Linked DNA regions of Mus musculus. The protein of the gene in region 3 interacts with the protein of the main gene of each other region in a pairwise test. Links are inferred from orthologs where the notes say so. Each region holds a gene or a part of one and is shown on either strand. Other genes may lie near its edges.

The links.
Region 1: the proteins of Dtx3 (region 3) and Ube2l6 interact in binary tests that used the Homo sapiens proteins (3 or more experiments, as listed by UniProt). The link is inferred for Mus musculus from reciprocal best matches to the Homo sapiens genes DTX3 and UBE2L6.
Region 2: the proteins of Dtx3 (region 3) and Usp2 interact in binary tests that used the Homo sapiens proteins (3 or more experiments, as listed by UniProt). The link is inferred for Mus musculus from reciprocal best matches to the Homo sapiens genes DTX3 and USP2.

The regions. Positions count from the first base shown.
Region 1 is NC_000068.7:84,797,541-84,801,711, reverse strand, and holds the start of Ube2l6 (ubiquitin/ISG15-conjugating enzyme E2 L6), read right to left. Parts: upstream 2,885-4,171; 5' UTR 2,807-2,884; coding exon 2,780-2,806; intron 1-2,779. UniProt on the Homo sapiens protein: Catalyzes the covalent attachment of ubiquitin or ISG15 to other proteins. Functions in the E6/E6-AP-induced ubiquitination of p53/TP53. Promotes ubiquitination and subsequent proteasomal degradation of FLT3.
Region 2 is NC_000075.6:44,090,917-44,093,614, reverse strand, and holds part of Usp2 (ubiquitin carboxyl-terminal hydrolase 2), read right to left. Parts: intron 2,612-2,698; coding exon 2,500-2,611; intron 2,404-2,499; coding exon 2,293-2,403; intron 1,780-2,292; coding exon 1,715-1,779; intron 1,531-1,714; coding exon 1,427-1,530; intron 1,340-1,426; coding exon 1,259-1,339; intron 1,139-1,258; coding exon 1,060-1,138; intron 914-1,059; coding exon 806-913; intron 489-805; coding exon 368-488; intron 1-367. UniProt on the Homo sapiens protein: Hydrolase that deubiquitinates polyubiquitinated target proteins such as MDM2, MDM4 and CCND1. Isoform 1 and isoform 4 possess both ubiquitin-specific peptidase and isopeptidase activities.
Region 3 is NC_000076.6:127,192,786-127,197,058, forward strand, and holds the start of Dtx3 (probable E3 ubiquitin-protein ligase DTX3), read right to left. Parts: upstream 2,925-4,273; 5' UTR 2,909-2,924; intron 2,783-2,908; exon of another isoform or gene 2,087-2,782; intron 2,023-2,086; exon of another isoform or gene 1,897-2,022; intron 1,850-1,896; 5' UTR 1,625-1,849; intron 1,019-1,624; 5' UTR 974-1,018; coding exon of another isoform or gene 946-973; coding exon 945-945; intron 573-944; coding exon 1-572. UniProt on the Homo sapiens protein: Regulator of Notch signaling, a signaling pathway involved in cell-cell communications that regulates a broad spectrum of cell-fate determinations.

The DNA.
Region 1 (4,171 bases), on a different chromosome or scaffold from region 3:
AAGGGACCTCACCCACAGGACTCCAGTTCTTCTCATTTTGAGAAGGGGGTGGTGGTTTGAAAAACAGTCACATATTCAAGGCAACGCTGGGGACAATGAATAGATACAAACTAGTGGTTCTGATCCAGGGATGTGTTTACCTATCAGGACGCCTTTGCCAATATCTAGAAACGTTTTCTATTGTCACAGATGGGGTGAGTGCTGCCACAACCCAGCGGGTAAAGTCCACGCTGATGAAACATCCTAGCTACAGAGAATGATCTGGTCCCAAATGTCAACAGAGAGAAAGTTGAGAAAGGCCTGTGTACATGCAGGTAGAAAGTTCCCCTAAGCCAGGGGCTTGGGGGTGGGGTCCTTCACTGCTGTGCATCATCTGTACTCTGACCCCCAAGTATATAAGCACGCCACACTCCCATTCATCACTAAACCCATCTTCCATATGTAATCACACTAACAAATGGCTTCTCATGCCTTCTACCTACAGCCATGACCATTCATTGCCTATTCTATCTTACCACAAGCATAACCCATGCCATAGCTTGGGCAAGAACAAAGGCTTAGGTATAACATAGATCTTGAATGGACATTTTTCTGGGCTGAAGATGCAGCTCAGTTGGTAGAGTGTTTGTCTAGCGTGCACAAAACCCTGGGTTCAATCCTCAGCACTGTACAACACTTGATAAAGCAGTGCACATCCATGATCCCATGTCTTAGGGAATGAGATGGAGGCATAAGAATCCTGAAATTAAGCTGGTGAGATGGCTCAGTGGGGAGGTGCACTTGTTGATCTTCCAGAGGACTTGGGTTCAATTCCCAGCACCCACATGGTGACTGATGACTGTCTCTAGCCCCAGTTCCAGAAGATCTAATGCTCTCATTTGCTTCTGCTAGGCATGCAGGTAGTTAACAGATATATATGCAGGCAGGACATCCATACACATAAAATTAAATTAAATGATTTTTTAAAAATTAAAGGCCATTGTTAGCTGCATATCAAGTTTAAGACCAATCTGAACAACACAAAATGGTATTAAAAAAAAGTACCGAAGGGAAATTTTCTCTCTTAACACTTGAATTTTCTGTGTTTTGATGAATTCTGACGAACTTTCCATGATTGCTGAAACCCACACCAGTGCACACAGCTCCTCCCAAAGCCAGCTAGTAAGTCACCTGACTTAGGAGAAATGAAAGTGAAGGCAAACAGGCAGGAAAAGCCCTGTGAGTTAGACTCTTATCAGTCTGGGCTCAAATTCCAGCCCCATTACTTCTGCAGAATATCACTGGCCAGCCACGTTACTCTCCCTGATGTCTCAGTTTCCTCTTCCATGAAATGGGAAGACACAGTTATCTCACAGTTGTTCTAAGAGTTAAATAAAACAAACTGCCTGGTGCTGACAATTCCGGAGCAACAAAAGCCAGTCTACCTTTTAGCGTTGAGGTAGCAAATTACCCTTTGCCCCATTTAGTACCAGCCTAAAACCAACAAAGTTTAGTTCTGTTTTGGGTCTGCTCTGGACTTCTCCATCTCAAAAGAATTTTCTTTTTGAAAGATGAGGCCAGCTGGGTGGCACACGCCTTTAATCCCAGCACTGGGGAGGCAGAGGCAGGCGGATTTCTGAGTTCGAGGCCAGCCTGGTCTACAAAGTGAGTTCCAGGACAGCCAGGGAAACCCTGTCTCGGAAAGAAAGAAGGAAAGAAAGAAAGAAAGAAAGAAAGAAAGAAAGAAAGAAAGAAAGAAAGAAAGAAAGAAAGAAAGAAAGGGAGAGAGAGAGAGAGAGAGAGAGAGAGAGAGAGAGAGAGAGAGAGAGAGAGAGAAACATGAGGCCAGCAACCATCCCTTCTGTCTCCTGAGGAAGCCTTCCCCTCAATTCTGCAGACTAGAGGAGCACTTCGGGGAGACTCAAAGCCTAGCGGTACCAGCCCTGGCTCACGAGCATTTCTCCTCCACGATCTCTAATCCTGGCTCCATTCAGCGGTCTAGACATTCCTAAGGAAACTGCCCTTTTTTCATTCTTTCAGATAGTACCAAATAGTGTCTCATAGAAATGAACGTTCAAACGGAACAAGATTTCTGTTCCTTTTCTGCTCCTGCTGCCTGGCACTGGGCTAGTACAAAGTAGGCGTTTAGTAGCTGGAGCAGGACTGCATACAAATAACCTACTCAGAGCATAAATTGTTACTTCTCATCCAGGAACTAGTCTGTACGTTTTATTTCACGGTCTGTCCATTCACCACCCCACCGCCCAACATCACTCTTCTGTGGCCTCGGGTAATGTAGGTATCAAATTATGGGTGTATCCACTAGGCGGAGCAACAGAGCCCTTCCTGTGCCTTAGATAAGTTCCACTAATAAATTTCCAGCAGAAATTGAAAATGAAACCAGTTTGGAAAGCCCAATACATTGGAAACCATTTGGAAAGACCAGTTCATTCTCGTGGCCAGTACAGCTGATGACAACTTTTTTTGAAGCTGATGACAACTTTTTTTTCCAGACCTTCTCAATCAGGCCCCCTCCCTTCCTCCTCTCTTTCTCCCTCCTTCTCGCGCGCGCGCGCGCGCACACACACACACACACACACACACACACACACACCGCGCCTTTCTCCTCCCATTTCTCCATTGGGAAAAGGTGAGGATACCTGAGTTTCAGCCAGCCCTGGTACCCAAATAACAAAAAAAGCTCAGAGAGCAAGGGGGCAGGGGAGGGTTAGGGCAGGGCGGAAAGGTTAGGGCAGGGCGGGAAGGGGCACAAGGAAAGGGTCATCCTACATAGGCTTACTTTCGCCACTCGCTTGCTGGCCATCATCTCGGGTTGGAGCGTGGGGCACCAGCAGATTCCAGCAGGACACCGCTCTCTGAACTGCAGCTCCCGAGCCCCGCCCACGCTCCACTCCACCCACACCGACTCTAGCTGCAAAGACCTGCTCCCCACCCCTTTGGTGGATATCTGGAGGCTGCAGTCGAGTGCCCAGCTTGGCGATCTCGTATCTCAGCAACTCATGCTCCTTGCAGATCAGAGACTACGTCGGTGGAGCGCACTGCTCCTCTTGGTTCCTGCATCTTGCGGGGTACATCTCGTAGAAGCCAGGATGGGATTCATCTCCAGCCTCTGTCAGCTCCCCGGACGCTGAGAGCAAACTCGCCCAAAGCACAGATGAGATACTCTTGATGCAAAGTAGCTCCGGGGCAGGGCTCTCTGCGACCTCCGCAATGGAATTGTGAACCTACCACCTCTAAAGAAAGTCTCAGAATCCTGGGCCAAGTCACTTTGCCTTTGTGGGTTCAGTGCTCCGTTCTAAAAGAGAGTGGGGGGGGGGGGGTCAGTATAGACTTTATGTCCTCCGAGGACCGCTCCCTGAGTGGTACAGTCCAGCAGATGGGCAGAAACGCAGCGATGCTTCTTTTAGGTTGCTTGGTGCCCGAGCACCACTAGAGGACGCTGTTGGACTCATTCGCTTTTATTTTGGGCGTTCTGTGTTTTACTCTACTGAACACATAGAAAGTGTCTGCTGTGTGGCAATTTGGGAAAACGATGGGTGGCTGAAGCCTCGAGATAGATTTCAGGAGCCTATTATATTTTATCACCAACTGATTACAAACTATGGAACTACTGTGTGTCCAAATGAACAGCCAAGAAGTCTCTAGCCCTCTGCGCAAGAGTAAAGACCCCCCTCATCCCAGCTCAAGTCGAGGCCAAGGTGTAATAGCAGCCCCCAGCCTCTGGAAGAAGTTCTAGAGTTAGAAGGGAATCCACCTACCTGCCTCACCCATTCCAGCCCAGAAATTAGCATATTTTGAAGCCCAAGATTTTGACCCAGTAGGTCACATGATTTTTATTTTCCTGTCCAGGAACCAAATATCTGCTCTGCTTACATATAGGATGTGCTTGAAAAATGATTCTGGGGCTGGAGAGATGGCTCAGCAGTTAAGAGCATTGACTGCTATTACAGAGGTACTGAATTCAAATCCCAGTAACCACATGGTGGCTCACAACCATCTGAAATGAGATCTGACGCCCTCTTCTGGTGTGTCTGAAGACAGCTACAGTGTACTTACATATAGTAAATAAAGTAAATCTTGAAAAAGAAAAAAAGATTCTGGGTTCTTTTTTCAGTTCAATAACTTTAACCAGATACCTTCTAAATGCCAGCAATAAGCAGGACACCATCAG
Region 2 (2,698 bases), on a different chromosome or scaffold from region 3:
TAAATACCATGTGTATGTGCTTATGTACGTCCATGGTGGCCGATGGCAACGAGCCCCTGTTCTCTGCAACCGCAGTGGGAACCCTTAACTGCTGAGCCACTTCTTCAGTGCCAACCCATTTTTTGAGACAGGGTCTCACATAACCAAGGCTGACTTCGAACTCACTAAGTGGCTGCAGATGACCTTGAAATCCTGACCTTCCTGCCTTCACCTCTCAGGTATTTGATTAGTGAGCCACCATACCTATCTATCTCTGACAGTCCCAGAGAGGGCAGCATACACGTGGTATGATGGTTCTGTCCATTCAAGATGGAAGCCATATGAGATGACTGCTGTCACGGAACCCTGCTGGAATTCCATCTCTCACCTGGAATCATTGAAAGTGTGCCATTCGCCTGTAACCGGACTTCGGCAGTAGGCTGTATAGTGGCCTCCCATGGTGGTTCCGGAGTGATTGGACACAGCATACAGGTTGTAAACAGCATGGTCTGAGGGGGCAGCACAGGGTTAGCATTCCTGCCCAACATCCCCTCCCTTCCTCCCTTTTATTTCCCACTCTCCTCCCCCCGCCCCCACTTATTTCCTTGGTGTGTGTGTGTGTGTGTGTATGTATGTGTGTGTGTTTAGGTCAAAGGGGCATCTTGACAGTCAATTCTCTCCTTCTGTGTGGGTTTTGGGGATCTGTTGCTGGTCATCGGCACTTTGCCTGCTCACATCCTGATCTTTTGATTTTTTTCCTAACTCACTTGCTTCCTGCCCCCTTGCCTCCCTCCTTCCCTCTTCCCTCCTGCTCCAGTATACCCACTGGTGTTTTCTGAAGCAAATTCTCTCAAGTCCAGGTCTCTTAGTGGGAAATTCACAAATGTTGTGAGCTTGCTGGTTCGTATCCTGGATTCTGAGAATCGCTTCAGGTCTGTGATTGCTCTGAGTCAAGGAGAGGAAGCAGGACAGCAAAGACGTCTACAGAGGTTTTTCCTTAAGCTCCTCTCCTCCCCTTTTGGTCCCTTGTCAACAGTCACCCTCCAAAAATCAGCTCCCCACCCTGGGAGTCAAGGATACGGAGCACCAAGATCTTTGGGAACCTCTGGACAGAGAACTTTTTTATGCATCGTTTTCTGGCTCGGCAGCGGCAGCAAGTCTAAAAGACAGATACAAAAGAGGCTAAAAAGAGCTTAAGGCCTGAGGTAGGGAGACTTGGTGGCCCTTCCCCAACCAGGCCCTGTGAAGGTGGCTGTTCTGTCACTGAGGAGTGACTTACTGGCTTCTCATCACCATCCAATATGTCCTCTTTGGTGAAGAGCCTCATACAATCCATTAACGTCACCTCAGGGTAACCTCTCTGCAAAGGAAAAGGGTCCAGGTCAGAGGTCACGACCTCACTGAGCCCCGAGCGCAATGCTGAAGTGGGGACCACAGCTGAGCATACCTTTGCGATGGGCAACGAGAGATCCCAGAAGGGATCGAAGACTGTAGAGCAGTAGCCACAATCGGTGCATGTGAGGGAGCTCTTCAGCTGCCCAACGAAGAGATCTGGGGAGAGAGAGCCAGGCCATGCTCAGCACGCCGAACGCTCGTCTTCCTTTCCCACCCACGCTTGCCTTAGTTTTGAGAGCCACAGGCAGAAGCAGGGTTCCCTGGGAAAAATGATCCCCGTGGCTTCTTGAGCAAAAGTGGGTAACAACAGAAGCAGGTATCTTCTTGTCTATATACTTACCCCCAATCCGACTGTCTTCCCTTTCCAGATACTTCCTCCACATCTGTCGCCCCTTTTCTTCATCACTGGGAACCACAGACAGGAAGACAGGTAGGTCAGGACTCAAACCCTGGAAGTCTTTAAGGGCTCTCATCTTGAGTCTTTATGGATTTACAGACATTGCTGTATGGGGTGCTGCGTCTGGAATCCCTGGCCTCGCTCCTGGTCACACAACCCTCCTGAGCTGTACCTCCCAAGCCACGGTTCTCTTGAGCCAGGATTAACCCAGGCTGGTCTTTAATTCATAATCCTTCCTACCTCAGTCTTTGAATTCTAGGATTACAGGTATCTCCTACCATGCCTGGCTTCAACCTTTTAATCTTCAAAAGCAATCTTAGAGGATGTAACTTAGTGGCAGAGTGCTTGCCCATTGCATACAAGGACCTAGGTACACAGACCCGTGCACAGTACCGAAATAAAAAGTCTGAGCTTAAAAACAAAGCAAATCTGATTCTCCCCGAATCATTACTCCTATAGAAGTAGGCACTAAGGTCAAGTTCACAAAGGCTTTGCCTGAGGCAGGACCTCCTCTTACTTACGGGAGATGATCAAGGGTCTCAGGGCTGGCCTTAGGCCTTGCTGCCACCCGGTTCACCTCATTGTGGAGACCATCCAGAAGGAAACGAAGGAATTCCTGAGCATCCTGCTGACTGAATGCAAACAAAAGTGAGTGGGAGAGCAGCGCCCACCAGACCTCACTTGTGCTGCCAGCCACCTTGGGGAGGGCACGCATGCCAGGCCCTTACTTATAGCCCATGAAGCGTGGCGCATATCTCTGGATCTGGGTCTTGAACTCAGATGGGCTCACCACATCATTGGGGGACGACGTCCATATGGTCTGGATTAGTTTTGCAAACTCTGTTAGGAGCCATTAGAAAGGGTGAAGAACAGGTGAGATTATTCAAGGTAGAGTTCCTCTGTGTAGCAATGGCTGTAACTAACTCC
Region 3 (4,273 bases):
CCGTGTGATGCAGCCCTCACAGAAGGAGTGCCTGCACTTCTCCAGCGTCTTGGCATTCTGTATCTCCCCCAGGCAAATGGGGCAGGTGGTTTCCTGCTCTTCAGCGTCCTCTCTGAGACGAGGAGGGAGTGGAGGGGGCAGGGGAGGAGGAGGAGGGGGTAGCCCTCTTGCCCCTGGGGGCAGGAGTGGGGCTGCTCGGAGGGGAGGAGGGCCTGGGCGGTGCAGCTCGGGGTGTTCCCCTCCACCCCCCAAAGCCAGGCAGCCCATGAGCTCCCCCTGCCTCTGGGCTTTCTTTAGCTCTTTCTCTGCCTCTTTCAGTAGCCCCTTGAGAGCCTTCCTGGCCAGGTAGAGCCCATTGGGAGGGGCTGGGGGAGGACCCTGTGGGGACAGCTGGAGCACGTAGATGTCAGAAGTCTCGCCATCTATGAGGATGGACACCCGATGCTCCTCCCGAAGCCGGGCCAGCCGGGCTGGGGTCTCCTTGCTCAGGAAGTCCCACACAGGCTTGGAGACAGTCACTTTGTTCTTGCAGGAGCCTCCACAGGCTGCCATTCTGGACAGGACGAACGACACTGCCCCCAGGGTGAAAGGGACTCAGAGTGGGGAGTCCCCATTTGACAGATAAATGTGCCTCTTACTTCAGGCTCCTTCTGAACCCCCTGTGTTACCTCTGTTTCCCTCAAAGCCAACCCCCAACACTGCCCACAAACCGGTTGGTTTTCTATCTCCACTTCTGTCCCATAGCCCAGCACCCTCTGGGCACAGGTTTCCATATTTCATCGTTATCTAAGCCAAGCACCAGCCCTGCTTGCTTCTTTCATTTCTCCCCTGAGCACAACAACCTGCCCCTTCTCCCCAAGATGGAAAAAAAAAAAGGTTCCTCCAAGGGAAGGAGGCTCCCCACCCCTACCCCACCCCATCCCACCTCCGTTTGCTTTGCTCACTTTGATCCGGAGGAGCTTAGAATTGGCATGCAGGCTCACTCTCCTTTCCCCCTGATACCTGGAGATCCTGTGGCCTGGTGGAATGGGAAAGAAAAGAAAGTAAGGGGGCTGGAGAGATAGCTCGGTGGTTAAGAGCACTGACTACACTTCTAGAGGTCCTGAGTTCAAATCCCAGCAACTACATGGTGGCTCACAACCATCTGTAATGGGATCTGATGCCCTCTTCTGGTGTGTCTGAAGACAACAAAAGTGTACTTATAATAAATAAATAAATAAATAGATAGATAGATAGATAGATAGATAAATAAATCTTTAAAAAAAAAAAAAGCTGGGCAGTGGTGGCGCTTGCCTTTAATCCCAGCATTGGGAGGCAGAGGCAGGCGGATTTCTGAGTTTGAGGCCAGCCTGGTCTACCAAGTGAGTTCCAGGACAGCCAGGGCTACACAGAGAAACCCTGTCTCAAAAAAAAAAAAAAAAAAGAAAAGAAAAGAAAAGAAAAAAAACAGGAGGAGGAGGAGGAGGAGGAGGAGGAGGAGGAAGGAAAACTATTCCCCAACCCCAAAGCCCCAACTCAGGAGCCCTTGAAATGGCCAGGAACCTGGGGTAGGGGTACTGGAAATGGGGATTTCTTGGAATACAGGAGGAACCCGAAAGCTGAGGTTCTCCTGGGGCACGGGTACCTGAAAAGACCACAGAGACGAAGGTAGCAGAAGTCCCTCCACCTCCACCTTCAGCTGGCCAGAGCTGGAGACGAGGAAGGTAAAGAGTTATGATAGCATTTCCTCAGCCAGCCCAGACAGAAAACGCTCTTCTAGTTCCTCTCCTCCCCTGCAGAATCCTCTCCAAGTTGCTCAAGGAACTTCATCAGGCTAATTCCTCTTTTCCCCCCAGTGCAGAGGGAGATCCTAGATGCAGATAAAGACAGGAAGGAGAAAAAAAAAAAGGGCCTCACAGGATGAAGGTCGTACACGCCACCTCCCTCAGATTACACTGACAGAAATATCTCCTAAACTCCTCGCTTTACGTTCTCGAATAGTTCAAGTCCCTGTTGTTGACAGAGACCTTTCCTTGAGAGCCGGAAGTCTGTTAGGGATGCCAGCAAAGTGTTAGCAGTCCCGCAATAACAAAGTTCTCATTGTCACCTTTAAACCCAGTGCCCGCAGAGCTGCTGTCAGCTGCAAATCAAGCAGGAGCTTGGCTAGAGGGACCCGAGGTTTTCCCCTGAGCCCTGTCACAGCCCAGCTCCAGGGCCTTTCCCACAACACAAAGTGCAGCTCAATTAGGAAGAGGGGCCATTCATGTGACCTCAATTCCTTGTGATCCAAAAAGAAGCCTCTGTCCGTTTGTGCCTCCATCATAGGGTCCTTGAGATGAAAACCTAAGCATCTCAACCCGCATGGTCTGTGCACGGTGAAATGCCCCCTCCCCACCAGAGAGAACCCAGGATCTAGGTGTCCTAGCTCCAAGTCCTGCTGGCACGGCACAGGGAGGCGGGGCCACAGTTTAGTCTGGGTCTAGCATTCCTCTGGGGCAAACCAGGCCGGACACCAGACCAGCCTCTTCCTCCAGACAGCGGCCGCTGGCAGGGACGGCGAGAAAGGGCAAGGGTCCCCTGGGGAGGTGTCCACTGAGGCACCCCCCACCCTTCTCCCCGAGACTGCCCCCGGATCCATCCAACCCGAAACCAACTCCCGCATCCCTACTCGAGGAAGCCCCGGAGTCCCGCCGCTTGGTGAGGGTGTGTGTCCACCCGACTGCGGCCCTCAGAACCCCCAAATGGAGGCCAGGGCTGAAGGTGCGGGAAAGATGATGGGCCCGGGCCCCGAGGGCGCCCTCTTCTCCCGCGGCGCGCGCGTGGGGGTCCAATGGCGGAGGAGGGGGCGGAGGGAAGCGGGGGGCTTGTGAGGGTGCGGACCCGGCCTGGGGGGGCACGCGGTGGGTGTGGGGGCGCCGGGCTCACCTACCTCTCGTCAGCGCCGCCATTGCCGGTCACATGACTGAGGCTGTTGCTGGGATGACGGTCCGGGCCTTAGCAACAAGGGGCGGGGGGGTGGGGGGGAGACCCTGAGAAGGTGGAAGGGGATGCCGGGGTGCAGACCGAGAGAAAGGAAGGGAGAGCACCCCTCCCCTTGGTGGGTGATAATCACCGTTTCCTTTGACCCCCTCCTACCCGGGAGCCCCTGCCTCTGCCCCAAAACAAAAATGGAGGCGCAGTTCCAGTCTTTGGAGGGAGGGGTGGCGTCATGTAGCCGAGGGTAGGAGGTTAAATCCCTTAGAAACGCCACTCTCTTGGCTTCCCCCTCCCGGAGGAGACCTCTCCCCACTTCTTTCCCAGCCAACTGCGTTGCACTCTTAGGAACTGGTAGGGGTGGGAGCAGTGTCGGTGGGTATATAGATTGAAGGGGAGGGAAATTTTTTTGAAGTCTTACGCTGGAATATGTTGGATGGGAAGTTTAAAAAAAAAAAAGGAAAACATTGGTACTACAAAATAAACCCTGTGACTAAACTACTTCAATCCCCTCCCTCAACTCTTGCCTCCTTCCAGACTGTTACCTCCGGTGACCCCCCCCACCCCCAACCCTCGCAGCCTGTTACCAGAAGTGGGCTGGTGACTAGTTTTCCACAAGTAAGGACACTGGTCTGTGCAGAACGTGAGGTGGATAGATCCTTTAAAAATGGCTCAGGGTGGTGTTAGTGTCAAGTACATGGCTCAAATAGAGTTAAAAATTCCCAAAGAAAAAAAGCTCTGCTCCGCTCTGCTTCCCGTCAGAGCTGTCTCCGCCTCCTCCAGCTCACTTCCCTGGGGCTACATCAAGCCAGGTTTTTCCACCAGCCAAGAGACCTCCTCAGCCAAGAGAAGAGGTACTGACTCTCCCAGACTAGCACCAACCACGTCATCCACCCCTCTCCATCCCCTCCCCCCTGAACTGGAGGACTGGTCACTCCTTCACTTTCCCAGGACCCTGCTGGACTCTTCCTGGCCTCTAAGCAGATAGCTTTCCCAGGAAGTCTGCGTGAACAGAGAATTCCTTCCCACAGAGCTGGTACCCCAAGAGGCCCACTAAAGTTAACAGATGGAGGAGCAAGAGCATAATGAAGACAGACACACCATCCCACTCCCACTCTGGCCGCCACAAGGTTGGCGACTATTTTCCCGCTCCCATGTCCACCCCACAACTCCAAGTCCACAGTCATCTTAGAACACCCCCCCCCCACACACACACACACATACTCAGGAGCCCAACACCTTGAAGACCAATATTTTTCAGTTGGACTCTGTAACTCTTAAACATAGGATGGGTTACTCAGTTTTTTAAAAAACAAAAACT